7 linked regions of the Daphnia pulex genome follow. The protein of the gene in region 6 purifies or fractionates together with the protein of the main gene of each other region. This does not show direct contact. Links are inferred from orthologs where the notes say so. Each region holds a gene or a part of one and is shown on either strand. Other genes may lie near its edges. The genes, in order: titin homolog, protein kinase C-binding protein 1-like, E3 ubiquitin-protein ligase Arkadia-like, FACT complex subunit Ssrp1-like, YY1-associated factor 2-like, casein kinase II subunit beta and eukaryotic translation initiation factor 3 subunit J-like.

Region 1 (4,288 bases), on a different chromosome or scaffold from region 6:
GAACACAGAGAGAGACAGACACCGACTGGAAAACGCTCGAAACAGTCGTTTTCACAGAATCCGTAGACGGCAACAACGTTTATGCTGGCGCTAGTGTACACTCAAGAACTAGCCAGACTGTTCTAGAACTAATGTTTCGTAACGTAAAAAACGCGGTTTTCATCAACAAAATTGAATTAAGTAGACTATTTTATTTTTCGAGAAAAATCTAGATATTTTTTTACGTTTAATTATTAATCGTTAGAATTGATATCGAAATATTTTCGAGAATTTTTTTTAAAGTCTACATCTAGATGTTCTTTTGTTTTGTGATAACGACATGGGATTTTTAAAATCAATATCTGCGTTAGATTCACTTCCGTCTTTCCAAATAATAAAATTACAAACGCATGAAAATGAATGAAGACATTTAATTGAACTATTTTCGAAGTCGAAGAGTCGATTTGGCAACAGTTTAAATGACTTCCATTAAGTAGAATAATGTAATAATATGAAATCAATCGTTTTTATGTCATATTTAATTTAAAATGTGAACATATGTGTAATATCTTGCAAACCTGGAAAAAAAAAATTACATGGTGGGCCAAAACATGAAATGGTAACCATTCATTTCGCAAAAATAATTAATGGGCGAGAAAGATTTGTCGATTTTTAAATTATTTCGAAAACTCATTTGTTTACGTCAATAGTCAAATCAGGGCTTCCTGCAAATGATTTTAAACTTCCTTTTTATGTTGGTAGCGGAACTTTTTGACGTAACCTTTGACCATTTCTTTGATTTTGATGGGATTTATTTCGCCACTCTTCGTATGACAAATCTGGCAAACAGAAAGATTGACCACATTAGTTCGATATTAAGTTGAGCGCAGAAGAACGGAGATGTTACCTTGGGAACACATTTCCTAAGAATTTCCTTGTAGTCGCCCTTGGAAATACGTTTGCTGGTGTAGTATGGTTTGAGTGCCAAACGAACCTCTTCCACCACTCTCTCTTGACGGTTTAATTTCTTGAGAAACTGCAAAGCAAGAATTTGTTAAAACATTCAATTGGTAAGCAATAATAAATTAGTAAATTTACCTTTTCTTTGACTTGGAGTTCGACCGCCGAACTGGGACATTCTTCATTGCCATCTGGGCCTATAGTCGTCGTAATGGATACCGACGGATCCGTTCCAGCAGGTAGCGCCGATTTGACGGGCGTTGGTTTAGCTGCTGATTTCGAGTGCGAAATCTTGGGGGTTGGTTTCGACGCCGATCGTTGATTGCTGGTGCGTACACGTTGATGGCTGGCTGATTTTAAAATGGAGTCGAAACTTGAGCTACTGGATGCATTGGCCGAAGACGTCGGTATTTGAGATGGGGCCGATTGGCGTGGTTTACTGCTAGGTGTAACTTGACTTTGCTGAGGTTCATGATCAGACATGGGGGATGATGGAGACGCAGACGGCGGACCAAATATGTCACTTCCCTCACTGGGCGTCGGTGATGGTGGTGTCATTGGTCGACCGGGTTTTCCATGGATAGCGATCGACGTTGAAAATGACAGCTGGGGCGGCGCTGTTGAAGTCACCTTCATCACCTGATTGAGTAGCGGGGCCACTGCAGGAGGCAAAGGAAGCAATCCAGCGATATTGGGCGGAGGGAACGAAGTGTTGTACACTCCCGAAATCAAGTTTGAAGCATGCACTGCATAAGGAGGTGGGGCACTGGTCAGCAGCGGAGGAGGTGGAAGAGGTGGTGGAGGGAGTGATGTCATCGGAGGCATCAGCACGGCCCCAGGATGAGGAAGAGGGAAGGAGGGCATCATGGGCGGTGTTGGAGGAGGTGGCAAAGGAGGCAGAGTTGACAGCAATTTTGCTGACGCCATCACAGGACTGGGTGAACGTGACGGGGTTGAACCTCCACTGGAAGGAGTGTGAGTCGGTTGAGACGGATCGTAGGTGGAGGTAGGCAATGGTGATGCACAAACTGCTTTGACCGGTGGTGTGGCTGGTCTGAATATAGGAGAGACGTTGCCCGCTGCCTTGGCAGGAGAATGTACCACTCGACCTGGACCATCTGGTAATGGAAGATTCATCAGAAAATTGTCATCTTCTTTCATCTTCCCGGTCGAATCCGTGATGTTGTCTTGTGTTGTTTTCTGCAATTTACTGGGGCTAGTTTCCAATGTCGTCGACTGTTGCTGCTGCTGTTCTTCTTCTTCCTCCTCCTCTTCGGCGGCACCCAACAGAAGCAACGGATTGTTAAGCTTCTTGATGGAATTTGATTTAGAAGCCAAAGAAAATTTGACGGCCGCTGCTCCATGCTTTGAAAACAAAAGATTTTTCCCTCCGCCGCTCTTTGGTTTGATGGAAGTCAACGCCGAAGAGCCTTTCGTGAGGGGTACGGGAGGAGGTGGCTGAGGTGTTGAATGTTGAGCTTGAGGAAGCTGGGGAAGTTGTTGAGATGGCAGTGCGGGCGGAGGTAGAGGTGGCAGGGGTGGAAGATGCGGTTCTTCATCTGAATCAACAGAATCCGACAAGACAATGACATCGCTAGGTCGAGCATCGTCCAACGGAATTTCTCGACTCGTTTCTATGTCAATCAAGACAGGCTTAGATCGAGGTCGAATGGGTCGACCTCCTGCTGGACGTCCTCGACCTCTTCCTCGCATGACGTCTCTCCCTTCTTCCCCACGTCGGCTAGGAGTTGGCGGCATCGGCTTCTGGGTAGGTTCTTTGGCGCAACTGACTCCTTTACTTCCGTCTGGTGTGGTTGAATGTTTGTCTGGAGATTTGGATTCTAAATGCGGTTTCACCACTGCTTGTTTACTGGGTGTCGACGGTTCCGGTTTGCTGCTAGAATGAGGCTTTTTGTGAACCTTCTCAGTCGGCTCAGCTTTTGTCACGGGAGTAGAAGGAGGAGGCGGTTGTGACTTTTTGGATCGATCCGTCCGTTCTGGAGATGATCGAACTTCTTCTTTCATCTTCTTACTGCTACTCACAGGATCTTTGGATTCGGCCTTTCGTTTCTTCTTTTTAACCAGGGGTTTACTGGAACTACTCGAGCCAAAATGAAGGCTGACGACAATCTTGTCACCCGATGCGAAAACAGCTTTACTGGGTATTTCAATATCATCACCGCAAGTTGCATTAGGATCAGCCCCCAGCGCCCCCAATTCGCCACTTCTTTTCCCTTCCGAAGCTGTGTGAGATTTCTTATCCTTGTGTTTGTCTTTGATCTTTTTCTTCTTCTTCCCCTTTTTCTTCTTTTCTTTCGTTGATGATTTGTCGTCGCTTCTCTCTTTGGACCTGAGCGACGACTTGGTCTTGCGCTTCTTTCGCTCCCCATCGGATGACGAAGATCTCGACCGTTTGTGTTGATTCTCTTTTCCTTTCTTGCGTTCAGGTGATAGGGATGAAAGGGAAGTCGAAGATGATGAGGAAGAAGAAGAACTCGACGACGATGAGGAGGAAGTTCGTTTACGTCGAGGTTTGCTAGTCTTCTTGGACGAATGTTCTCGGCTTTTAGATTTCGAATCCGAACGTGACCGATGCTCCGACTTGGAGGACGAATGATGCCGATCGCTGCGAGATCTTTTCTCCACCACACGCCGGACGTCGTAATGCTTAATCTCTTGCCGTTTCGATCTCTTGTCGTCTGACGTGTCTTGTTCTTTTTTCGGTTTAACGTCGCCACGTCCTTCCACCACCTTGATGTCACCTTGATGACGATAATGACGAGTTTTGCCACTGTCCAGCTTTTTGAATGTGGAAGGAATACCTTCGTCCTCCAAAGACAGCTCTACCTTCCTCTCGCCTCCAATACCAGCAGACCGTAAGAATTCGCAGTCTTCCGTTTTGACGATAACTTCGTCACCGGTGGATTTCTTCTTTTTGGCGTTGGCACGCTTTTTGCTGGCAGCTTTCTTGTCCACAATCTCACCCTCTTCACAATCTTTGAGACCCTTTTTTTCAAGCGGTCGCTTCAGCGAGGCAGGGGGAGGAGTCAGCATCCGCACAATCCGGTTTGTGGAAGGTGGAGGTTCTTCATCTGAATCGTCTTGATCGGCTTCACTCTCGTCTAATTCGCCCTCTTCACAATCCGATATCTGTTCAAGGTGGTTGATCTCTCTCCTGGAATCGTCATCGTCACTTCCAAAAATGTCTTCCATTTTCTGCCTCCGTCCAGCACTTTTGAGCCCAGCTTCTGTTGGGGCAACCACAACCACCGGAGAAACCAATACAGCAGATTCGGTGGTTTCCAACGGTTCTTCAATTTTGACCACAGGTTCAACCGTTTTCACTGGA
Region 2 (3,958 bases), on a different chromosome or scaffold from region 6:
TGAGGCTGACTACTTCTCATCATCACAGCCTGAATAAAAAGAAAAAGAAATAAAAATATTGCAGCATATTTATGATTAAATGGCAACTTACTCCTCCTTCATGCCTGTATGAGAGAACTGGAAATCTCCCTCCAACTCGAAACGATGCAGCAGCTATTAAGACGTCATCATCGACCGACTTGGGAACTACAACAGCAGATGGATAAGACGAGCAGATTGAATAATCCTTATTGACATAAGAAATCCTCCAGTCTTCCTGTTGTTGCATGACTAGTTTGGAAAATTCAGTTTCTGGCCTAAATGCTGTCCAACCATCTTCTATTGCAGTGTAAACTGGCTGATAGAAGAAAGGATAATAAAGAGACTGATTCTCTGTGGTAAAAAAATTATGATCTATTAGCAGGTGGTTTTAGAAGATGTAGGCTTATAAGCACCGATCTGTAATAAATACCTATGGATGATAAGCACTCCAATGAAGCTGAAACATTCATCAGTTCTTCTGTATTATTGAAATCAAAACTGATAACAGAAAAATCTTTGCACTTGAGTGTAAGAGTGCCTCCTGCAGCTGGAGGTGTGTTGGGTTTTCTTTCCACTAAATCTATGATTCTATGAATCAGCTGTAAAAATGAAAAAAAAAACAATGTGAAGGTAATTTACAAAAAACTTAATAAAATTGGTATACCCAAAATTCATCAGGATTTTCTCCTCCAGCAGAGAAAATGAGGTGGTGCCCAGTTATACATAGCACCCCTTCAACAGATTTGTGAAGTGGGCGGTGGACCAAAACCTTTTCTACCCTTGGTGACTTGATGAGATGTGCAAACTCCATTTTCACAGCTCAGCCTTCAGAAAGAGACAATCCATAAATCGGTTTAATGAAACCTAATAATTTTCCACAAACCTTGTATTGTAAGGATTTCTTCACCTGTCACAATCTCCAGCTGGACGATTTCAGAAACGAGTTGCGCGCGCAATTGATCGATAAAGACTAAATGAGGTTAAAAATACAGCATTCGCTTAAAATTTACAGTATTTTGGAAATTATTTTCATCCTGACAGTGAATTATCGTTTCACTTCATACCAAGTGAGCGTAAAAACGTAAACATTGGTGTCGTGAAAAGCAGAAAAAAAAAATATTTTTCATATCCCCAATTGACAACGTTGTTTGCTATATACACCGCCGGTGTGTCTTGTGTGTGTGACTGTGTGTGTGTGTGTGTGTGTAAAATAATTCTGGCGAAACCCTGAGCTGAAATATATCGCATGCTTCTGAAGTGGTTCAAGATTCGTGACACCTTTTTATAGAGTGGGTTTGTTTTCACGACACCATTATTGATGATGCTTTTTAATTTGTAACATTCTTCTTGTTTGTAGCATCATCACTGGACCGAAATATAGATAGCCTGTGGGCGGAGCTTGTTTGATTGAAAAATCCTCTCCGGATTCCGCCTGCTCTAGCGGTGTTTCTACGAAGCACAGGAAGGTCAGTCCTCAGTGGTATGCTTGCTAAATTCTACGTTCATTTTCCGTTTCGCAATAACATATTTATTTGGAATCACTAATTGCAGATATCAAGGGGACAAGGGAAAAACTGTGCTGCCTGCCCGGAATGGATAACGCTGCGACTGCTGATGTCATCAATGAACCTTCCAGTGATAGAGTCATGGAGGATGTTGGTTTAATGTCCAGAAAACTGAACAGTGAAAACAGTGAGCCTGCAGATAATGTGGCCACTGCATGTGAAAACTTCGACACTCTTTCACCTAGGGATGGCACTCCCCAACTAAATGGTGATGAACAGAGCCAGATTGATGATGATGAAGTACAAAGTCTTTTTATAGCTGAAGATTCTGAGGAGGATGAAGATGAAGACGTAGATGAAGATGTGGATGAAGAGGATGAAGAAATGCCAGAACTTTTAGACTCAGATGGTGCTGGGATTCAAACAGCTACAAAGGATGATGGTACTACTGGAGAAACATCAGATGAGGAAGCACCTCCAGGACTCATTCTTAGCCATGGTTCAATAATGAAGCAGGAAGGCAAGAATGTGGACAGTCTCTCAGGTGTAGTTGAAAATGAACAGTTAGAAGATGATTTACAGAGTCTTACTGACAAAGGAGACCAAAACCAAAAGTAAATACAAAAATTAAGTCTATACATTATTCCTTCTCAAGGGTTCCACATGGCAACAATTTCAAAAAATTCTTTTTAAATTTTGCATCTAGCATTAAACTGCAAGGAACTCCATCAGCAGCTCTAAGAAGATCCAGCAGGACTAAATTACCCATCAGCCCATCTCCAAACGACGTGTCACTTTCCGCAGGACGTACCACGCGATCACAGATCAATCCTGACATAATCGCAAAGCAAAAGTAAGGAAATCTGAACTTGTTTTTTAAAGCCATATATTGGAGATCCATTTCTCTTACAGGTCTTTCATGCATAAATACCAAATTGCTGTCAAAAGCTCTATGGACTCGTATGTTCGAAGTGCAACTAGCGAAGTTGAACAGGTTAAAGTGGAAACACAAGCCACAAAGCGCAAATGGGAGGATACAGGAGGGACAGATGCCGTGCATTCTCCTCATAGTTCTCCAATTCAAGAGAAAAGAAACAAAAAGTAACTAAAAAATGAAGCTGGCGTTACGAAGCATTTGTAACTAACTGTAGCACTTTTGCAAACTTTAGATCAATAACAAGCACTCCATCAACAGCAAGTACCCCATCGACCAAAGTTGGTAGCCATTTCATGGAATTGCAAAGCAAGACATTTACGCGCCATGACACTTTTTGCTGGGTGTGTCATATGGATGGCCAGGTAATGAGAAAAAAGTCCCAACGTTTCTGTGATGGATTAAAATGAAGTTTCTGATTAGGTATTGGAATGCAGACAGTGCCCGCGTGTGTTTCATCAACGATGCGTTCAACTTCAGTCCCCAATTCCGACTGATTGGACATGTACGGAATGTTGCTCTGTTCGCAATGCCGAAAAACATAACCATCTCGAGATGGACCAGTTAACTGAAATGCTCAACTTCGCTATGGAGCGAATCAAGTCGGTGGCTGACGCGCAACCTTTCTTTAAACCTGTTGACACGGAAGAATTCCCGCACTACACCGAGTATATTGTTAGTCCGGTGGATATCAGCCAGCTGGAGGAGAAGATTGTTCAAAGATCTTACACTTCCACTAGAGCTTTCCTGGCTGATTTCCGCTGGATCTTGCACAATTGCATAATCTTTAATTCGTCTCACTCAAAATTGACTAGCACGGCAAGAACGTTGATGAAGGTATTTTAAGGTTTAATATGATTTATTTCAAAATCTTAACCAAATCAAATTTCCCAATTGCAGGTGTGTAAACATGAAATGGCTGAGATTGATACTTGTGCCGATTGCTATGTGCATGCTCACACCAAACGAGAAACCTGGTTCCTGGAACCGTGTCAAAGGCCTCATTTACTGCTCTGGGCCAAACTCAAAGTAAATTTCATCTCAAGTCATTCTCACAAATCTAGTTTTAAGTGTTTTAAGTGGCTTGATAGGCACGTCCAATGAGCAAAACAAAAATTATTTAATGATTTGTTGTTTTCCCCAGGGGTTTCCTCATTGGCCGGCTAAAGCGATGAAAGCAAATAAAGAAGGCAATGTGGACGTGCGCTTTTTCGGTGCACACGATCGAGCTTGGGTGCCCGCCAAAGATTGTTTTTTGTACAGGTAAAACAAGAACAAGGTTTATCTTTTTGCAAAAAAAAATTAATGTCAATGTTTGTTTGTTTGCAGCCGCGAAATGCCTATGCAGTTAAAAAATCAGCGCAAAGCAAATTTGATTGCTTCAGTTGAAGAAGTTGACCAACACATCAAAAAGCTTGTTGAGCGCTACGGTTCTTTCGCTTACCCCTCGCCACGTACGGCTTACAACCCAAATAAGGAGGACGAGCAATTACAACAA
Region 3 (4,205 bases), on a different chromosome or scaffold from region 6:
TTCCAAACGCGTTGAAGGACGTAAAAATGGGTAGTGATGTGGTGATCCGCTCAAGAATGGACTGTTGCCCAGTGGGATCAATGGTGGTGGAGGATGGTGGTGGTGACCGTGCTGCTGGTGGTGAATGTACAACGGGTAGCCACGGTGGTAAGGTTGCTCCTGCTGATGGGCTGGTTGGATTTCGACTGCTGCGGCACCTTGAACACCGGGCATGGCAGGTGGTGGAACGCGTTCCATTGGTACGGTTCGAGGTGGTGGTGGTGGTACTGCGGGCGGGATGGCTGGTCCTGGACCTATACTGATATGCAAATTGCCAGGCAGACTGAAATGGGCAATGTGGTGGTGGTAAGACGGAGCAAAAGCATAGGCAGGAGGAGGAGGCAAATGGTGATGGCGAGGATCTAAATTGACAGGAGAACTTTCAACGACAATTTCAGCTTGAACGGCCGGCATCATGTGGCTACTCAAATCGGGAGCGTGAACAGTTCTGAATTGTGGCGAAGGACTGCTGTTGCGCTCCAGTGCAACTGGATGATATGGAGGAGGCGGACCAGAGAAACCAGTGGGTTGTTGTTGATTTTGAATGCCTTGACTCATCATCGGAGAATCCGGAATCGATGACGGACCGCTAACTTCGACGGTTTCTCCAGCTGCGACACGTTGTGCCATGTCCATATGACGTCGAAGAGCTTCTTGCGAGCGGTGCTGTGAATGCCAAATCCTCTGGTGAATGGGATGGATACGCATGAAGCTTCGAGCAATGGCAGGCGGCATCGTACAACGTCCGTCCACGGGTCGTGAAGTGGGGGCCGCATGGTAAATACCAGTTGTTTGAGGAACGAAAACGGGTGCAGGTTGAGCGACAGAAGTGGCTTCAACCAGCTGACTGGGTTGCAGTGGAATGGCCGCAGCCTGATTAGAAGATCCATCTCCTGCTACGTGTTGAGGTGACGGAGTGGCTACTGTTTCAACGGCCATACTTGGATAACTCCACCAGACGGGCGAACGAGCTCCACCGTGGGTTTGAACGGTTGACGGCAAACGTAGAGTCAGAACTGGCGGTGGTGGAGGATGGTGATAAGCTGGCGGTGGTGGTGTATACGAAAAGGCAGTGGCATGATGAGCTAGCGGAGATGGTCGAAGAGACTGATTAGGAATGTAATGTGCTCGTATTGGATTACCATTGTTTGGCCAAGCTACACCCATGGGCGTGGGCCGTCCTCCGTCCACGTAAAACTGCCCTGGACATCCGCACCAAGCACCTGGGCGGTTTCCTGCAGAGGACGATGGAGTAACGGACACAAAGGCCGGCGATGCTCGTCTTACTTCAGCGTCTGGCTGATTGTTCTCTTCAATCACAACCGGTATTGGTGCCATTGGAGGCTCTGCTTTAGGTATAGCTCTTGACTTTACAGACGACGATGGTTTGGGCTGTCTCCCAGTAGAACGAGAATAGCCCGACGATGTAGAAGGATTGGGAGTCGACGTTTCGTCTTCTGAAATGGTAAGATCTACGACTTCGGGTTGATGCTGAGAACGCAATAGACCAGGTCGGACGCTTACTACTTCGATGCAACTATCGTCATCGTCAATGTCTGATTCGGTAGCAGAGGAGGAACCGTCAGTCAGACATTCTAATTGTAGATCATCAGCAACTGGGCCATCATCGCCAGTTACCGTTCTTGCAACTCCGATACCCGATGGACCGGGTACAGGTTCTCCACCAGAAGTCTCGGCTTGTTTTTTGGACTTCGATGCGTTGCAATTTGAATCCTGTTGAGTTGTATTCGGTCTTTTTCGGCGGACATCAGATGATGAAGATGATGCTGCTACAGCAGAAGCAGCAGCTGGAGGAAAAGATTCTACGCGGTTACTGTTGGCCCAATGGGGAGGTGCTGGTGCCTCCTCCAGTCCAAAGTGAAAGCCATCGACGTGGCTACTGAAGGAGGCAAGAGAAAGAAACTCGTCGACTGGGCCAGGTGAGAGAGAGGGATCGAAATAAGGATTTCGAGTGATAGTGATCTCTCTCTCCCCACTCTCCATACTGTCGTCAAGGAATACAGGATCTGGTGGTCCAGACAGACTGTACACTGAAGGTTGCAAGTTAACACTGACATTAATACTTGTTGGCATTTGAAGAGTCAATGGCAAAGTTTCATCATAGTGGAGTGCAACTGGGGGTGAGAGCAGCTGTGACGGCATCAAGACAGGGCTGGGAGTTTCTAATTCTGGCATGTCCAAATCCTCTTCATCAAAATGGCCTGATGGACATTCACCATCAATAGAAGGGCAATTCCTACTAGGTGTTCTGGGCGGATTAGTCCTTCCATTTCCAAATGCCAAGTGATTGTTTGTTTCTTCTGCTGAAAGTGATGTTTGTTTCGGAACATTTTCTGTTGCTGACTTGCTACTATTTGTTCCCGAGCTATTGGATCTTTCAGTGTCCATTGTATTTTTTCTAGACGGGCCAGCTTGTTCGTCACCCATTATTGATAACAACTCACTCGATAGAGACGGCTCGAGGCAAGATGCTCCCAAGGGAAGAAAAGACGATGACGTTTTCCTCCCTACACCACCTGATGAAATATGTTTATATAATGAAACCATTTGTCATTAAAATTAAGATTAGTTTGACTTACCATTAAAGACTGAAAAACAAACTTAACAGTAATCCTGTATGAAAACTCGGTAAAGGGCAAAGAGTCACGCCAATCAAGTACAAAACCCTTTCTTTCCAGTTAAGGACAGCTGATGAGACAATTGTCTTTGCTGTAAACAAGTGCCAACGGTGCTGCCAAGTGCCAATATTTCGGTCAACATCGATTTTTTTACTTATTTTTGGTTGTAAGTTTGAATGATGAAATGATTCATTAAATAACTTAAAAATAATTACATTTATGAGTTAAGAATTTCTAAATTAATAAAGTTTACGTAATTTTAGAGTTCATTCAATAATATTTAAAAAAATATGAACAAAACTGTCATCGTCTCTTTTCCTTTTGCCTGACTGGCTGACTGACATTCTGACAGATTAGTTATTCGTTTTTTTGAATAATAAATATCACAATTTCGTAAACAAGTTGAGAATTTTTTGTGGGGAATGTCCATAAGTGAACTGAAATACTAGTATTGCTGTCGTTCGAAATGAGTGTGACACATAAAGAATCGGGAAGTAAAATCGTTTTTGTTACTGTAGGGACTACCCAGTTTGACGAATTAATAACTCAAGTTTTGCATCCAAACACGTTAGAGGTATGTTCGATATTTACGTTGCATTACACATTTTTCCTAGTAAATAATAATGTATAAAATTTGAGCATCAGATTTTGGAAGATGATGGGTACACACATCTTGTTCTGCAAATTGGACTTGGTGTTGAACCTCCAATTCCTATTTCACGAAGAATACAAATATCTTGTTATCATTTTAAAGAAAACATTTCTTCTGATATGGAAAAAGCCTCCCTAATCATTTCACATGCTGGTGCTGGCAGTTGTCTTGAGGCCCTCAGTGTAGCAAAGCCATTAATTGTTGTGGTTAACCAGAAGCTGATGGGCAATCACCAGCTAGAACTTGCTGAGAAGTTACATTCTGAAGGACATGTTTATATGTGCTATCCAGAAACCTTAAAAACTACCATTGTTGATTTTAGAACTACTAAACTCCAGAAATTTCCTAGAAATAATCCAGTTGCATTCTCAGCCTACCTTGAAAAATTGATGGGATTTCAAAAATAAAGTTCAATTTGTGTATTGATTTCATACATTGTAAACGTCTAAGTTGAAAAAAAAAAACGGTTGGATATGATGCGATAAAGTTAGTGTCGCGAATAACGATCTGCCGAATAGCCAACGGATCCAGACTGCCCGATAACAGGGTTGTTAAGACTCCCTATGTTTCCTGTCGCTGGATTATATTGCGCGGATCCACTAAGAGGGGGAGCTGATCCAGTCCAGTTGTTATTAAATGATCCAGACGACGCCATTGACCTTCCGACAGGCATTAACGAGGATGACGATGCGCTCCAGCGATCTTGTTGCGTACTTCCGTTGCCAGACCAGCTGGTGTTAGAAGACAATCCAACTCCATTGCCCAGCATGGTATTACCGCTTCCATTGGAACCGTAATTAGTTTTTGAACTTCCAACTCCTCCGCTTGATACGGGGGCATTCGCACTGGAAGGGCCTCGCTGCCAGGGCTCAGAC
Region 4 (4,166 bases), on a different chromosome or scaffold from region 6:
ACTTTAGCTTTGGCTTCCCATATAGATCGATCTTCAACCTTCTGCCACATTTCGCCACCTTTTTTCATCAGATCTGTGACACTTATGCCAGGGTTATCTTTTTTAATCTGTTCGCGTGAGTCGTTCAACCACAGCATGTACGACGACTGTGGTCGTTTGGGCCTGTTTGCATCCTTATCCTTCTTGGATTTGTGCGATCTGGGAGTTTTAGGGGCCTACAACAAAATTAATAAACGATAAAAACTTTAATTCTGAAATTATTGGCAAATTGAAAGATGATATTACCGCCGATTTCGAGCTACTGGATTTCTTGGGTTCCTTTTCCTTTTTCTCCTTCTCCTCTTTTTTGTCCTTCTTTTTCTTCTTTTTGGACGAGGAATCGGAATCACTGCCAGAACCACTGCCAGCCTTGGCAGCACTACTAGCCTTCGCAGCACTACTAGCCTTGGCTCCACCTGATGCGTCGGATGCTTCCGAGTCGGTCGTAGCCACATTGGAGTCGTATTCTTCTGCTACGTCACTTTCCTCACCAGGTTTGAAGTCTTCGTCATTTTCATCAGAATCTCCACCCGAATCGTCACCTGCAACTGGCACATGTTAGTGGAAAGGCTTTTGTTTCGTTAAGCAAGGAAAACGTACCAACTGCGTCACGCTGTTTGCCTTCAGCCTTGACACGAGCCAAATATGCGTCGGGCGCTTCCTCTTCGTCCGAATCGCCAAAATCATCCCCATGAGCGGACTTGTCCTATTACGTACAACAAAAACTGATTAGTACAAACACTATCAATGGGTTGCTAGATCTTACGGATCGGCCAGTATTTTTGACGCGGAGCTTCTTGTTGTTTACGAAATCGTACAAGCGGTTATATTCCTCCTTTTCAATGCTACTGAAGGTGTGAACAACCCCATTTTTGGTCTCAACTTCGAAGTCAAAAGAACGGGTACTTCCTCCGCCACGAGCAAAGTTAACACTTGCAATTTCTTCGAATCTGTGCGAAGGAAGAATAAATTAAAAAATATGCAAACAAAAATTTCAGGGAAACGAATTCTACCGAATGTGAATAGGAGGTTTATGAACGTAAATAAAACCACGTTCTAGCGGATACAAGTATCCGGCTGCTGCTTTGTAGGAACATCCAACAGCGGGGGTTCCAGAATGGCTATAAATAATTAAAAAAGAAGGAAACTGTGAAATCAGTCTAGAACACTTGAAATGAAAATATAAAATTTTACCCAGTAAAATTTCCAGGTATAGTGACCTTTCGGTTAACCATGGCCTTCATGACGGTACTCATAACTTCATAAGTTGGACCATTACAATCACGAGAAAGTCGGCCTTCAAACTTTTCTTTCAATTCCTCCCTGTTAGGACAAACGTTTTTTGATGACGTGTTGAAAATGTTGAATTATTCAAAATTACTCACTCTGATAATGGTATTTCAAAAGATGTCTCCTCATCTTTGTTAAAGAGAAGGACCAAAAAGTGGTAACGCGTCTGACCTTGCTTAATAGGTGGATCAAGGCTTACCTGAATTACACAATAAAAATATGTAGATTAATGATGATTCTTTTCTTAATTTCTTTTTCAGAGATGTGTAACTTACTACAAAGAAAATTTGCCGACCATCTTTGTGCGGAAGTAAAAACAGGCGAAGTACAGTAGAGGCTGGAATCTTGTAGTCAAATGTCTTACCATGAAGTTGAAAGAATGATTGGAAAACTTTGATGTCATAGCGACCTCTGTCAAGGATAAAAACTAAATGAGCAAATGTTTTAAGTACAAATGATAGAAAATACCTTGGTGTGAGGCACTGAACTTCTCTGAAGATGGCAATTGCATCACCAGTAGCACTGATGACACTTGCTTTAGGCATCACCTGCTTCTGGAATGCTTCAACAGCATCATCTCCACCTTGATCATTGGACTGAATGAAGAGACGCATCTCCATCAGACTGACTGATGCATCATCATTCTAGTTTTAGAGAAAATAAAGCAGTAGGTAAGATGTCTGCAGCATTGTTTGTCATAATAGTACCCACCTGATGGAATTCTAAGGTGACTTCATTTTTCCCTGTTGTGCATTGGGACACATTGCTTAGAGGAATCTCAAAGGCAGTATGGTTTCCAACTTCAAAAGACATAGTTGAACCACTGAACTCAGCACGGCCCCAATTCCATCCTTTGACACTCAGCTCTTTCTCCAGCATGTCTTTTTTGTAGGTTTGAGTAAAAAACTTTGCCAGCTTGTCTTGATCCTAGACAAAACCAAATTAATAGGAAATTGAAAATAAAAAAGCTTTCAAATGTTAAAAAATTACTTACTGAATCTTTAAATCCACCATAGCGATGAAGTGCTCCGGTTCTGAGAAATACACGTAGTCCCCAAGCACCAGCTAGTCGCTGCCAGTTAACCAATTCAATGTCAGAAGAACTTATCTGTTCAACTTTACCCGTTTTGGAATTCTTGAACACGATACTCTGATCCGTTAGTTTTAGACGGCCTGGAGTCTAGAAGAAAAAATTTTGTCAATAGAAGAAGATTCACGTGCAGCCGATATGACAATTTAGCGAGCCTCTTACCATTGAGCCTTTAATTTCAGCTGAAACATCAGAGAACTCTAAAAAATCCATCACACAACGAAAAAATTGTAATCCCGATTGGCGAAATGAATAAAAATCCAACTAGACGAGCTGGAAAGCAAGAGAATAATCGTAACAATGTAAAACACCAGCAGTCGGTTATTTTACTTCGCGCCGAGCGGAGAAGTATAAGGAATGGCCATAAAGCGTTGCCAGTGAAACTCGTTTGGGCAACGCTAGATTTTAAAGATATTTGATACCGTATTTGAACATTTGAAATAAATCATAGTTTAATAGAAAAATTATTTTTAAGTAGAAATTTAAACTGGGGAAGAGGATTTTTCGTTGATTGGATTGGATAGGATTTCAGGATTGTGGAATGTGGATTCTACAATGTTGAGACTCCAGATGGCACTCACTACCATAGATTTTCTAGAGCTTTACATGATCAAAAGATCAAAAAGTGGTCAAGAGGGATCGACCGTATTCTTCTAGTGTTATCCGAAGTACTGTCAGCCGCAAGGCGGATTGTCAAGTTGCATTTACTATTGTAGAAAATAGTATATCCACGTGTTAAAAAATTGGAATTTGGATCTGAATGTTTTCTCGCTGGCCCTCTCAAATTAGTTGACTATATTTTTAAGATTTAAAATGGTTTTCTATTTCGTCAGCACCGCCGTTCAACCCAGTTGCGCACTTTTCATGGGAGAAGAAAAACATGAAAGTAAGAAGTAATCAATCAGTAAGATATAAAATGGGATTATTAATCCTTGTAGTAACAACTAGATGAGGAGTTGATCAAGTGGGGATGGCCTGAAGATGTTTGGTTCCACGTTGACAAGCTATCGTCAGCCCATGTTTACATACGACTAAACAAGGTAAGGGTTTTTTTTATTAAATCAAATAAAACAATTTTTAATACAGCTCTGTTACTATTCTTATTTGTAGGGTCAAGTAATTGATGATATTCCAGCAGCCATTTTAGAAGATGCAGCACAATTATGTAAAGCGAACAGCATCCAAGGGAATAAAATGAACAACATTGATGTTGTTTACACCCTGTGGTCTAATTTGAAAAAGACTCCTGGTATGGAAGTTGGACAAGTTGGATTTCACAAAGAAAAAGATGTACAGATTTCCTTCTTAATGTGTTCCTATCCATTATCTAACAATCAAGTTTTATAGGTTCGCAAGATTAGGGTGGAGAAAAGAATTAATGAAATTGTAAACCGTCTCAACAAAACCAAAGTTGAGAAAAAACCTGATTTAAGGTTTGAAAGAGAACAGAGAGACTGTGCAGAAAGAGACGACAAGAAAAGGCTCCTTAAAGAACAAAAAGAAAGGGAGAGAGAAGAAGAAAAGCGAAAAAAGGATGAAGCTGAACTAAGGTGACCTTGATTTACTAAACACTATATTTATTTTTTTACACAGAAATGTTAATTTTTACATGTTTAGGAGCTACGATCGCTTGCTGAAGCAAACGAACATGAAGACCAATAAAGATGATGATGGAAACGATTCCGATGACTTCATGTAAGAAATCGCTTACGTTAACAACCAGCCGAGTGTATGCGAACTCGATCAC
Region 5 (3,345 bases), on a different chromosome or scaffold from region 6:
TCAAGCTCTATTGAGTGCGCCCAATCCCGATGATCCATTGGCCAATGATGTTGCTGAGTTGTGGAAAGTCAACGAGGTAGAAGCTATTCGTAATGCTCGAGAATGGACCAGAACTTATGCTATGGGAAACATATGAAACCTGGATCTGTGGAAGGAAAAAGAGTAAAATTGTCAATCCGTTACCGAGAAATTGTGTTTGAATTTAGATTATTTTGCTTTCTTTTGTTCCTCGTCCATCAGCCTTTGTCGACTGATTCCCCTCCCTTCAATTGGTTGAACTGTCCCCGATGGTGATCAGCCAAAAAACTACATTTTGCTCGTTCTTATATCCCAATCTTCTTTTGTTTGCTCGTCAAAAGTTCTATCGACGGTTCATTCCAATTCACGCGTCGTTAAAATGATCGTCGATAGCCTACACTTTTTACCGTTTAGTACCACGAGTACCTCAAAAGGATACTAAAGAATAATAAAAATGCCGTCACCCGTGGAAGTCTAGAGTATCAAATTGTACAGCTGTGTATTTACTTGTCGTGGATGAGGAGGGTGAAATTATAAAGACGGATGAGAGCGCACATTTATCACGAAACGAAAACCATCCACTCGACAGACATAATCAATTTTTTACCAAATCTTCCCCGACCTCTTCGCACCGTTCAGATGAGGTAGGTTCAAACCGAAAAAGGGAAGCGAATATTGGTACTGAGATCCGATCAGAAACAGGAATTCCCAACACTCAAAAATAATCTCCAACATTATGGAATTTCGTGGTTACAAAAAAAAAAAAGGGAAAAACTTTGAATCCAGAATAGTTATAGACAACTGCCTCTTGGTTTTTCATGTATAGTTTTCGGTTTGGACGTCTGTCGCTCCAGTTCTATCTCACTGAAATTCGGTTGGGACCAAATTATAGCCTTTATAGATATTTAAAAATTATATACTTCTTGGCAGTTGAGAAAAGATCGGTATGGGGTCAATTGGGTGCGCAAACAAATACAGTTCAAATAAAATACCTCGAGATGCTAAATAATAATAAAAAAATGAATCACGAGCAACGACTTTAGTCAGTCTGAATGTTCTTGATCTGCAGGGGAAAGATCGTTGCCGTGATTGCTGGCACTACTGCTAGAACTACTGGTCGTGTGTCCAGCATCCAGATCAAGGTTACTGGGAGATGTTGACTTGCTGCTAATTTTTGGCCGAAACTCAGTAATGACTACTGTCACATTGTTCACTGTCACTTCTTTGTGCATAGCAGTGCTTCTGTCAACATTTTTCAACCTATTTTAAACAAACAATTAGCAAGTCACACTGAAGGATAGATATCAAATTTTGTTTTAACAATTTTATTAAAACATACCTTGGTCTGGCTTTACTGTTCCTGGTGGGGTTTCCATCTGATGATTTCCTCTCAGATTTATCTCTTTCTTTAGATTCCTTCTCTTTTCTATTTTTGTTAGCTAAGGAAGGATTGAACACTTGAGGTACCAACTGAGGATTGAGCCTTGGTTTCCTGAAAACGTGCAAGTTTTGTCACATCTGTTAAATGTTTAGAAATGGTAATATTGCTAAGGAAAAATTACCTGGTTGAGGTTCCTTTTCTTACATCACACATTGAACATTTAAATGCCTCTGCATTATTTCTGTAGGTACCTATGTAAATAATACAATGTTCGTCACCATTTGTCAACATCTTTTGTTTTCATATTGCGCTTTGTCAACTTACAGACACTGCAGTCCCAGTAATTTTCTTCAATTTGCTTGCTACTCCGCTTCGCCCTTCTTGAAGGTACAGAAACCCCCATTAATATGATTGAAATACTTATAACTAGCATAATTCATAGTTACAAAAATAAATAAAAACAAGAATATGGTCGGTCAAGGCTACACAATAGGTGTACGATTGTCCCAAGTCCTTCCCTCAAAATCGAAAGAAAATAAATGGATAAATTTACCTTGCATTTGGACTGCCTTTCTTTGAATCCATGATCAAAACGATGTGAATCAATCAAAATAATTCAACTACTCGCAAACTTCGAATTAAAATGTAGGAATGGCATTACAAAATACGTTATTAATACGCGTTATTCTGTGCTTTTCGGCTACAAACAAGATATCGATTATCGTGTGATCGATACGGAAACTTTGACATTATTTTCAAAACAAAACATTGTGATTTGGAAAGAATTTCTTTTTATCAAATGCTTTACACTATATAATAAATATTATGGGGTGCGGATTGAACACTTTTTCCAAAAAAACTTTTCAAAAATCGATTACCATATTTGATTTAAAAACAAATTGATAATCGTTTTGAATATTGAAATCAAGTTGAAAATAAATTCAAAAATTGAAAACGTTTTGAAAATGAATTCATAAATTGAAAATGATTTTGATAAATGAAAATGATTTTGAAAAATGTAAATGATTTCGAAAAACTAAAATGAATTTGAAAAACTAATATGATTTCGAAAAATGAAAACGAATTTGAAAAATGAAAATGAACTTGAAAAATGAAAATGAACTTGAATATCCATACAATTTCGGGAGTGCGATATGACACCACCCTACTCTATCCCCAGCTCTCTCCGGATGCTATAGCCACCCCGAGACAACCGACTAGCCATTGATGGCTATGTCGCTGATTCCAGCCAGCAAGGCCGTCAGCGATACTGTCAGCCCTTGCCGGGCGGTGCTGGCCACCGCTGCCGCCACAACGGCCGCCGCTAAAGTCTCTCTCGACCGCAGGCCGAGTATTACCCTACACAAAAATAGATTACACGATCCAACGTGAAAAGTTTCATGTTCCTGCAGTAAATGACACACAGCCTACCCAGCAACGATGAAGACGCGTGAAGACGGAACGGCCGAATGGGTGGCTTTCACCTGAGAAAAGTTCCAGTCACGCCTCGGTATGACGTTCTCGCGAAGTTCTCGTCATTCCACTAACTGCCAATTGCCCGGAAAGAAGTGTTCTGGTACGTTTCGCTGGATAGGCCTATGCGTCCTGTACTGCTGCGATACTCTGCCGTTCAATCCGACGAGAAGAAGAAGGCGGACACGCGACACGCCGTCTTGCTGACGTGGATCCTCATGTTGGTGCTGGCCCTGCTGGAAATTATCCGCTATCTAAGCGGATTGGGGAGCTGGACTTCTCTATTGTCTCTACGTCTTTGCCATGTGGTCCACTTGCGCCGGAAGTGATATACAATTGGGCCATTTCCAAGGAAGAGCTCATTGGAAGGATGGCTCTGTCTCAGCTGCAGCGACGGATTGAACACCAAAAATTGGCGCAACGTCTATCTTTTCTACCATCATGGAGGCAGCGGACATGGCGGTGGAGGCCAA
Region 6 (4,055 bases):
GATTGCTCCACTGAGGGGTAAAATGGGCTGACCAAGTTTAGCAATTCTGTAGTTTAGAAACAATCAAATATGTTTGCATAATACTTGGAATTATTTAACATTTACTTGCATTACCGAGATATAAGTTTGGTTTTGTTACTATCTTGACTGAGTGTTTCATTTGCAATAGGGTTTGTTAATGGGCCATCTATTCTATCAATGGAAGACGCTTCTGCAGATGATGGCTTATTCATGTGTCCAGCCAAAACATTTTTCATTTTATCAATCTACAAGTAATGTCAAATACATTTAAATTATAGTGAATCACATATTGCTTACACTTAACAATTATTTAATACCTCTCCAAGAAATTTCTGAGCAACTTCTTTGGAATCAAACAGAATTGCCCAGTTTTGCATGTGGTCATCATAAAATGTACAGAAGTTGTTTGGTTGACTCTGCAACAAAACAGTGGAGAAACATTATTTAAGTTTAAATAGTAGTGTAAATAATCCCCCCCATCCACAAAAAAAATTGTACTTACAATTATGGTAAATTCTGAGGTGACCCTTACACTTGCTAGTGGTTTCTGCTTATTTTGGTAAAGGATTATCTGATAAGTTTTATTACTTTCATTTTCTTCCAATAAGGCTAATCCTATTTTTCCAGGAAGTGGTTCATATTTTTCATTATTTCTGGAAATGATAAACAGGAGAATAAAATAAATTAATTCTTTGATTTGGCTTTCCTCCTTACAGTTTATAACATGTGACAGCAGCTGCAGCAATAACTGCTTGGGACATGCCCTTTGTGGTTGGAAGTGTACTACTTGGAGGTTGTTTAGGTGCCGTATAGATTAATGACTTTGAATTGGATTGGTGGATCCCCGAATCGTGAAATATTGATGCTAAATTAGAACTAAAATAGCGATTTAGTGTTATAATTTTTTATATCATGAACATCTATTCCTAATAGAAATGACTTAAGAATGATATTACTTAATTGAAATTGAGCCAAAGTCATCATCTTCTTCATTTGAAAAACCGAATGACATTTTCACAACATTGAGTAGAGTTGATAACGCTTCACGGCGGATATATATATTCTATTATCGTTTACTGAATGAAAATCAATAGATGGCGTTGAAAAGATTACAGACAAGATTACGATGGAATTTCCGAATAAATAAACAAAAAAAGCCATCTAGCGGCTAATATTTACTGGAAATAAATAAGAAGAGACATTGAAAAGCAACGTACTACCTACTAGGCCTACTTCATTTCTTTATATTTTCTATATTATATTTTCTTCCTTCAAATTGTGTGATTCTAAGGAATGGGTTCTCTTTAATCATGTTTTTTATAAGAAAACTTCGCGCTTTCACCACATAATCATGAATTCATAAGGAATTACTTGTACTGCACACACACTTCTTCTTGTTACTAATAGATGTCACCTTACAGAAAAAAGCCTGTGTAGAAATAAGGCCCTAGGAGAAAACGAGATCGACTTCGCACACATATTTGTTAGGGTGGCGAACAGAGGCTTGAAGAGGTAAGATTTATTGAATTTCAACTGTTATGTTTACGATTAATTGTATTCAATTTTGACTTGGAAAATATTCAACGAAACAGGAGGGGTCATAGTGTACACGGGTATGGTAATTTCGTCGATTCAGCAATTTTTTTAGTGAGAGTCTACATAAGAATGAGAATGGTGACTTGGGGAGAGTTTACATTACGTGTTCTGAAGGGAGAGGTGTGCACAGTTTGCACACGCTGAAGGCTAGACAGGGAGAGAGGGCGCGCATTGCAATCAGTAAACTGATGAGTAGAAATCATTGATTTTTGGATTTGTGAACTACATCAACGGCTTTGTTAAACGAATTACATCACGTTTTGACACAAATTTTCTCACCCATAGAAAAATGAGCAGCTCCGAAGAAGTTTCGTGGATCTCCTGGTTTTGTGGCCTACGTGGAAATGAATTCTTCTGTGAGGTAAGATAAAATTAAAATTAAATTTGATGTGATAGGTCAAAACATATTAGAGCACTTAATATTTCAATCAGTTGATCAGAAAGTGGTAGAATTTGACTGATGAAAATCACAGAATTTTCTTTGGATTTTGCTATAACAAGTGCATTTGATTCATTAAGACTTGGAAAGGAATAATTGTAATTTCAAATTTAAACAATTAATCTAAGCATATTTTGTAATTGCTCAACAGGTTGATGAAGATTATATCCAAGACAAGTTTAATTTAACTGGACTGAATGAACAAGTACCACACTATCGGCAGGCACTTGATATGATTTTGGACCTAGAGCCAGGTATAAATAACCAATTGAATTCTTTCATTCATATTCTTAGTGTAAATCATTTATCCAGTATTTTTCATTTAAGATGATGATGTTGAAGACAACCCCAATCAGTCTGATTTGATAGAACAAGCTGCTGAAATGCTTTATGGGTTGATTCATGCTAGATACATTTTAACAAATCGTGGAATTCTACAAATGCTTGAAAAGTATCATGCTGGAGATTTTGGTCATTGCCCAAGAGTATACTGTGAGAATCAACTGATGTTGCCAATTGGTAATATAAAAAAATATGATTTTATTTGTTATTACTATATATTTTACTATTTATTATATTTTTAACTTTCACTAGAAATTTATCTTTTATCTTGAAATATTTTTGGGTTCTCCTTCTCAGGCCTATCAGATGTTCCAGGGGAAGCTATGGTGAAGCTTTATTGTCCAAAATGTATGGACGTCTATACCCCTAAATCCTCCCGTCATCACCACACTGATGGAGCGTACTTTGGGACAGGATTCCCCCACATGCTCTTCATGGTTCACCCTGAATATAGACCGAAAAAACCAACCAATCAATTTGTCCCACGACTTTATGGCTTTAAAATTCATCCGTTGGCCTATCAGATCCAACAACAGGGCGCTTCTAATTTTAAAGTTCCGATGCGTACTGTAAGCTACAACAACGGGAGAAAATGAAACTGAATCTGCTTATTCGCCACTTATTCATTCAATGTTACCATTTAGCATAGGCGACGTTCAGAAATTATGTACTGCGATTTTTGGCTTATTTTTTTTACCCCCTCCTCCCCCTCTTGTCAGATTGTCACAAAAGCCCCAACTCTAACAAAAACGTAACGTTTGCCGACCCCCATCCCCTATTTTCTGGAACTTAATAAAAAACTGAATGAAAATTGAATTAAAGTTGGTGCCTACATTTGGTTCCATTAGTTAAGCGCTTAATTGATTGGTGTTTCTCGTATCAGCCTATTCCTTCATTTGTGCTGTTCGTTTTTATGGTGAAAAGGTCGCAACACAAGCTGAAGAGATATTATGTCATGGTGCGTCAAGAGTGTCTCAACCCGGAATCCCATTCGTTTCTCGAAACCCATCTATTTCTTTATGTTCCGTACTACGAATCTACTGCATAACTTTTGAACGTCGCCATAGCAACTCAATACCCTTTTGATTGGTTACATGATTAACCCGAGCTGTACAACAAATTTGATGGAAACAAAAGATAATGAATTTTTTTCTTGATATGTTATGTACTTTATTTGTCAGATATTTAGTTATCTTAACACTTATGCTTCAAATCTACGTCAGGAAAAAGACGTAGGATGTTATTATAACCGTACAATGTTATAGAAAAAAAAGGCCCAAAAACCTAATAAGCTTGTTAGCTCCAGTGTATAGGAAATTCACTACGCGGTGTTAAGTTACTTGGAATTCTATTAAGTTTATTTTACTTTTTTGTTTGATGAGATTTGTCAGATGAATAGACCTTTTTCACAATGCGGAAAGTCGGGATTTTACAATCCGGCAACGCCGCAATCGGCCATCTTTGTTCTAATTAATTTTTCCCCGTGTAAATTCCCATAAGGAATCGGGGTCCCTTTACTTTTAATTCATTTTCTACTTATTGGTGTCTTAAATCAAATATATTTCTCGTGGATCTTGTTCCCCGAATAACTGGTAACATTTTCATGTATGGTAAGTATTACTTGTGGCTTATATTAATTATGTAATTTGAACTTTCA
Region 7 (3,234 bases), on a different chromosome or scaffold from region 6:
AACGCCATATAACGAGTTAGAAGTATCGACCAAACAACCACTTTTATGCCACTACTAGTCTGCTACTCAGCAGGAAACGCACGTGCTTCATTTATTGATTAGGCATGCAGCCGGCTGCCACGGCAACGATTTCCATTACATTTTAAAAACAAAACCCCCCTAATCCCCTCTCTTACGCCCACTGGGTATCAAATAAGGATTCACCAGTATACAAATTTGCGGGGTACTCAAAACTCAAATTTAAAAAAATAAATATTGAAAGTTATTTGCTTACTTTTGACAGTGTGTAGCATTCAATGGGACAAATACATCTAACTACATCTAACTTTACAACTGTCACCATCTCCTTTTTTGACGCTAAAAGTAGAAAACTGGAACGTCTAAGAAAATATGCAACTTAACTCTATATATTGAATTAGAATAATTAAGAGGGAGGTTTTAACTTTTAACAGAAATTCAATCTCAATATATCTTAAAACACTGAAAAAACTGACAAGAGCAAAATGGCAAAATCATACATTTATTTTACCAATAAACCTTTTCCCGCCAAAAACAAAAGAAAAACAATTGGACCCTACATGAAGTCGTCATAGTCTCCTCCTCCGAAATCATCACCGAAGTTGTCGACCATTCCTTTGTCCATTTTTAAAGCAACTTTTGTTTTTCCTTTCTTTCCACCTTTTGTCGCCGCCTTCACCATCTTGAGTTTTTCTTCGTGCAAGGATTTGGTAGTTAGACTAACTTTTCTAAGGACTTCGACTTCCACTATGTTGAAAAACTGGGATGTAGAAAAGTTTTTAGCAACCAACATTAGAAAATGTGACTTACATCCAATGCAAACATCTTTAATGAAGTCCTCTATAAAATCATTATAGCACGCTTTAGTTGACAATGACTGAAGTTTTTTCACCAAGTTGTTCTTGAATTCTGAGAATTCCTCTTTAGATGAAGGGTTTGCTTCATCTATGCTTCCCTCTGTAGGCAAACTACCAGTAATTCCTGGAAAATAAAAATAACATTGAGAACAAAATATAAAACAAATCATGCTTAGTGCAGGTCAGCAATACAGTTTCCTAAGACAACTTACCAAAGGTTTCCTTGGCCATTTCAAAATCTGATTCTTCAACTAGTTTTTGTCTCCGAAGCTTTTCTGCTATTCTCTCTTCAGGTGTCATGTTTGCTTCCTGCAATATTTTTCTGGCTTCAGCTTCTTCTCTGCTTTTCTTTTCTTTTTCGGCTATTTTTTCTTCTAATCTTTTACTTGACTTTTTTTTGGTAGCCTGAAAGTAACAAACACATTTTAAATTTTTTGGATACTTTTACGAGAGATCACATGTACTTACTGTGGCTGCTGCTTTGACTTCAGCAGGCTTATTTTCTGTTTCTTCATCTTCCCAGCTATCCTATCATTTATAAACAAGAAAAAATGATAATTTTGAAATCAATCACAACTTTATGTAAAACTCATTGAGCAATAAGAATTTTTTGGCAAAAGAAGACACATGGTAGTCAAGTGAAAGTTGTAAGAATTGGAGCAGAAATAGAAAGGTACTGAGAGAACTTTTTTTCACTACAAGCGCTACAAGGTTCTACCAAATTTGTAGATATACTTACTACTAATATCATCACAATTGAATTACAACTCACCTTGACAGGTTCATCTTCATCCTCACCTTCCCATTTATCTGAAATTATGGCAGTCGTAACTGGAACAGGGACAGAGGGTTCAAAATCTTCGGCATCTATAATCACCACAAAATCGTATTTGATTAGAGTATACGATTAAATGGAACTTTGATATGCACTATTGAGAATTTCATACAAAAAACAGGTGGAATTGAATAACTTAATATAGAAATAATTAAATAAAATCACCCCAATCCGCCTCGGCCTCCATCTTCAACGAAAAATCGTGAACACACTAGTGTCCATGGCAGTTGCCAAATGCTTTCACTTTTCTAATAATGTTAATATGTGCATTACAAAATATTAAATATAGAAACCTAACAATAATTAAATTTTGAAACTTTATTGCAAACCTTTTATTATGAATTATTTAATTTTTTTTACCTGAGATATCTCGTTAATCCCAGCGTTGCTTAGTCTAGTGTTTCTGTCTTCCAGAGGCGCTAGTGTTTGCCTGTTTCCGAACTGCTTTTCTCTGACATTACCTGTTATTTAGCAATTGATAGGAGTTTCTGTCTGTATTAGTTGAGTTGACGTTTCACGGTGACCGTCGAAACAAAAGTTACCGCAAATTGGAGTAACAAAGTGACCGAAGTTAAAAAAAGAAATATTTGATAATGTCTGGATTTGATCAGAATCCTTTTGCAGAACCGGCTGTTTTCAACCCGTTTGCGGTAGATTATTTATAATATGTATATTATACTTACTATTACCATACTAATACCTTGGTTGAAAACTGGTGATTCATGGAGTACTCGCCGCATACAATATGAAAGAAAACCTTTTGAAAAATCACCTTGTTTATTAGTTTAGTGGTAAAGTGGTTGTTTACTTTCACAATAGGATCCATCTGTCCAGCAAGCTGCAGGAAACAATGCTGCGAGAGCTCAGCAAGGTCTTGAAGAATACAACCCTTTTGATGGTAGTAATCAAACTACCAGAGTTTCAATGGTAAAACATAATTTTATCATGAAAGTGGGAAGTGTGTTTGATTTGTTACAAAATTTAAGGACCGTGTTGGTGGAGCCAATCCACCCCCAACAATTCAAGCTGCCCCAGTGATATCTCCAGGACCACAACAACAAGCAGCTATGTCAAATGCGGATTTTCAAGTATTAAAACTTAAAAAGAAAGAAGGAAATCTTTATTCATTATATTGCATGGTTTTATAGAGACGTCAAGAAGAACTAGAGAAGAAAGCTCAAGAATTGCAGAGGCGAGAAGAAGAATTAAAGAATAATGTACCATTCAACTGTAGGAGAGAACAAATTTAAATGAAACTTTACTTTTTAATTTCTGTTATTTACTTCTTCATTACAGCTCAGCGCAATAATTGGCCACCACTGCCTGACAAGTTTTGTGTCCAACCATGCTTCTATCAAGACATCAATGTGGAAATCCCACTTGAATTTCAAAAAATTGTCCGCATGTTATACTATATTTGGATGCGTAAGTTAAACATATCATAGATTTCTTGTTTAAGTTTATTTTTGTTATCAGAAACTTTTATTGATTTTGTTTTGTTTCTTTATTTTCAGTGCACACCCT

Evidence for each region.
Region 1: the proteins of casein kinase II subunit beta (region 6) and titin homolog purify together in Homo sapiens (affinity purification with mass spectrometry; 3 studies listed by BioGRID and IntAct, with this or other methods). This does not show direct contact. The link is inferred for Daphnia pulex from reciprocal best matches to the Homo sapiens genes CSNK2B and PHRF1.
Region 2: the proteins of casein kinase II subunit beta (region 6) and protein kinase C-binding protein 1-like purify together in Homo sapiens (affinity purification with mass spectrometry; 3 studies listed by BioGRID and IntAct, with this or other methods). This does not show direct contact. The link is inferred for Daphnia pulex from reciprocal best matches to the Homo sapiens genes CSNK2B and ZMYND8.
Region 3: the proteins of casein kinase II subunit beta (region 6) and E3 ubiquitin-protein ligase Arkadia-like purify together in Homo sapiens (co-immunoprecipitation; 3 studies listed by BioGRID and IntAct, with this or other methods). This does not show direct contact. The link is inferred for Daphnia pulex from reciprocal best matches to the Homo sapiens genes CSNK2B and RNF111.
Region 4: the proteins of casein kinase II subunit beta (region 6) and FACT complex subunit Ssrp1-like fractionate together in Homo sapiens (co-fractionation; 5 studies listed by BioGRID and IntAct, with this or other methods). This does not show direct contact. The link is inferred for Daphnia pulex from reciprocal best matches to the Homo sapiens genes CSNK2B and SSRP1.
Region 5: the proteins of casein kinase II subunit beta (region 6) and YY1-associated factor 2-like purify together in Homo sapiens (affinity purification with mass spectrometry; 5 studies listed by BioGRID and IntAct, counting the BioPlex papers as one, with this or other methods). This does not show direct contact. The link is inferred for Daphnia pulex from reciprocal best matches to the Homo sapiens genes CSNK2B and YAF2.
Region 7: the proteins of casein kinase II subunit beta (region 6) and eukaryotic translation initiation factor 3 subunit J-like purify together in Homo sapiens (co-immunoprecipitation; 3 studies listed by BioGRID and IntAct, with this or other methods). This does not show direct contact. The link is inferred for Daphnia pulex from reciprocal best matches to the Homo sapiens genes CSNK2B and EIF3J.

The regions. Positions count from the first base shown.
Region 1 is NC_060023.1:11,578,726-11,583,013, reverse strand, and holds the end of titin homolog, read right to left. Parts: coding exon 1,078-4,288; intron 1,016-1,077; coding exon 887-1,015; intron 819-886; coding exon 717-818; 3' UTR 501-716; downstream 1-500.
Region 2 is NC_060028.1:7,383,018-7,386,975, forward strand, and holds the start of protein kinase C-binding protein 1-like, read left to right. Parts: upstream 1-1,158; 5' UTR 1,159-1,310; intron 1,311-1,378; 5' UTR 1,379-1,501; intron 1,502-1,572; 5' UTR 1,573-1,613; coding exon 1,614-2,140; intron 2,141-2,232; coding exon 2,233-2,379; intron 2,380-2,438; coding exon 2,439-2,627; intron 2,628-2,695; coding exon 2,696-2,825; intron 2,826-2,883; coding exon 2,884-3,297; intron 3,298-3,360; coding exon 3,361-3,489; intron 3,490-3,604; coding exon 3,605-3,723; intron 3,724-3,789; coding exon 3,790-3,958. Other genes in the region: myotubularin-related protein 9-like, read right to left, coding at 1-29, 92-372, 452-620, 686-832. UniProt on the Homo sapiens protein: Chromatin reader that recognizes dual histone modifications such as histone H3.1 dimethylated at 'Lys-36' and histone H4 acetylated at 'Lys-16' (H3.1K36me2-H4K16ac) and histone H3 methylated at 'Lys-4' and histone H4 acetylated at 'Lys-14' (H3K4me1-H3K14ac).
Region 3 is NC_060024.1:8,994,934-8,999,138, forward strand, and holds the start of E3 ubiquitin-protein ligase Arkadia-like, read right to left. Parts: upstream 2,801-4,205; 5' UTR 2,640-2,800; intron 2,577-2,639; 5' UTR 2,488-2,576; coding exon 1-2,487. Other genes in the region: UDP-N-acetylglucosamine transferase subunit ALG13 homolog, read left to right, coding at 3,145-3,252, 3,318-3,737; SAFB-like transcription modulator, read right to left, coding at 3,818-4,205. UniProt on the Homo sapiens protein: E3 ubiquitin-protein ligase. Required for mesoderm patterning during embryonic development. Acts as an enhancer of the transcriptional responses of the SMAD2/SMAD3 effectors, which are activated downstream of BMP.
Region 4 is NC_060026.1:11,629,052-11,633,217, forward strand, and holds the start of FACT complex subunit Ssrp1-like, read right to left. Parts: upstream 2,801-4,166; 5' UTR 2,633-2,800; coding exon 2,582-2,632; intron 2,510-2,581; coding exon 2,324-2,509; intron 2,257-2,323; coding exon 2,041-2,256; intron 1,974-2,040; coding exon 1,798-1,973; intron 1,741-1,797; coding exon 1,605-1,740; intron 1,529-1,604; coding exon 1,425-1,528; intron 1,363-1,424; coding exon 1,234-1,362; intron 1,161-1,233; coding exon 1,053-1,160; intron 990-1,052; coding exon 806-989; intron 746-805; coding exon 640-745; intron 588-639; coding exon 286-587; intron 216-285; coding exon 1-215. Other genes in the region: coiled-coil domain-containing protein 25-like, read left to right, coding at 3,233-3,305, 3,368-3,459, 3,530-3,709, 3,767-3,969, 4,037-4,118. UniProt on the Homo sapiens protein: Component of the FACT complex, a general chromatin factor that acts to reorganize nucleosomes. The FACT complex is involved in multiple processes that require DNA as a template such as mRNA elongation, DNA replication and DNA repair.
Region 5 is NC_060019.1:11,515,374-11,518,718, forward strand, and holds YY1-associated factor 2-like, read right to left. Parts: upstream 2,113-3,345; 5' UTR 1,985-2,112; coding exon 1,953-1,984; intron 1,780-1,952; coding exon 1,724-1,779; intron 1,651-1,723; coding exon 1,581-1,650; intron 1,511-1,580; coding exon 1,358-1,510; intron 1,279-1,357; coding exon 1,062-1,278; 3' UTR 501-1,061; downstream 1-500. Other genes in the region: ubiquitin-conjugating enzyme E2 N, read left to right, coding at 1-136. UniProt on the Homo sapiens protein: Binds to MYC and inhibits MYC-mediated transactivation. Also binds to MYCN and enhances MYCN-dependent transcriptional activation. Increases calpain 2-mediated proteolysis of YY1 in vitro.
Region 6 is NC_060025.1:6,073,023-6,077,077, reverse strand, and holds casein kinase II subunit beta, read left to right. Parts: upstream 1-1,393; 5' UTR 1,394-1,533; intron 1,534-1,564; exon of another isoform or gene 1,565-1,634; intron 1,635-1,902; 5' UTR 1,903-1,906; coding exon 1,907-1,978; intron 1,979-2,207; coding exon 2,208-2,310; intron 2,311-2,383; coding exon 2,384-2,575; intron 2,576-2,695; coding exon 2,696-2,994; 3' UTR 2,995-3,555; downstream 3,556-4,055. Other genes in the region: FK506-binding protein 15-like, read right to left, coding at 1-46, 115-266, 339-437, 524-674, 736-897, 978-1,033. UniProt on the Homo sapiens protein: Regulatory subunit of casein kinase II/CK2.
Region 7 is NC_060019.1:7,843,391-7,846,624, forward strand, and holds eukaryotic translation initiation factor 3 subunit J-like, read right to left. Parts: upstream 1,963-3,234; 5' UTR 1,898-1,962; coding exon 1,876-1,897; intron 1,743-1,875; coding exon 1,648-1,742; intron 1,404-1,647; coding exon 1,344-1,403; intron 1,281-1,343; coding exon 1,088-1,280; intron 1,000-1,087; coding exon 829-999; intron 766-828; coding exon 575-765; 3' UTR 501-574; downstream 1-500. Other genes in the region: secretory carrier-associated membrane protein 2-like, read left to right, coding at 2,304-2,360, 2,530-2,637, 2,697-2,798, 2,859-2,940, 3,007-3,135, 3,225-3,234. UniProt on the Homo sapiens protein: Component of the eukaryotic translation initiation factor 3 (eIF-3) complex, which is required for several steps in the initiation of protein synthesis.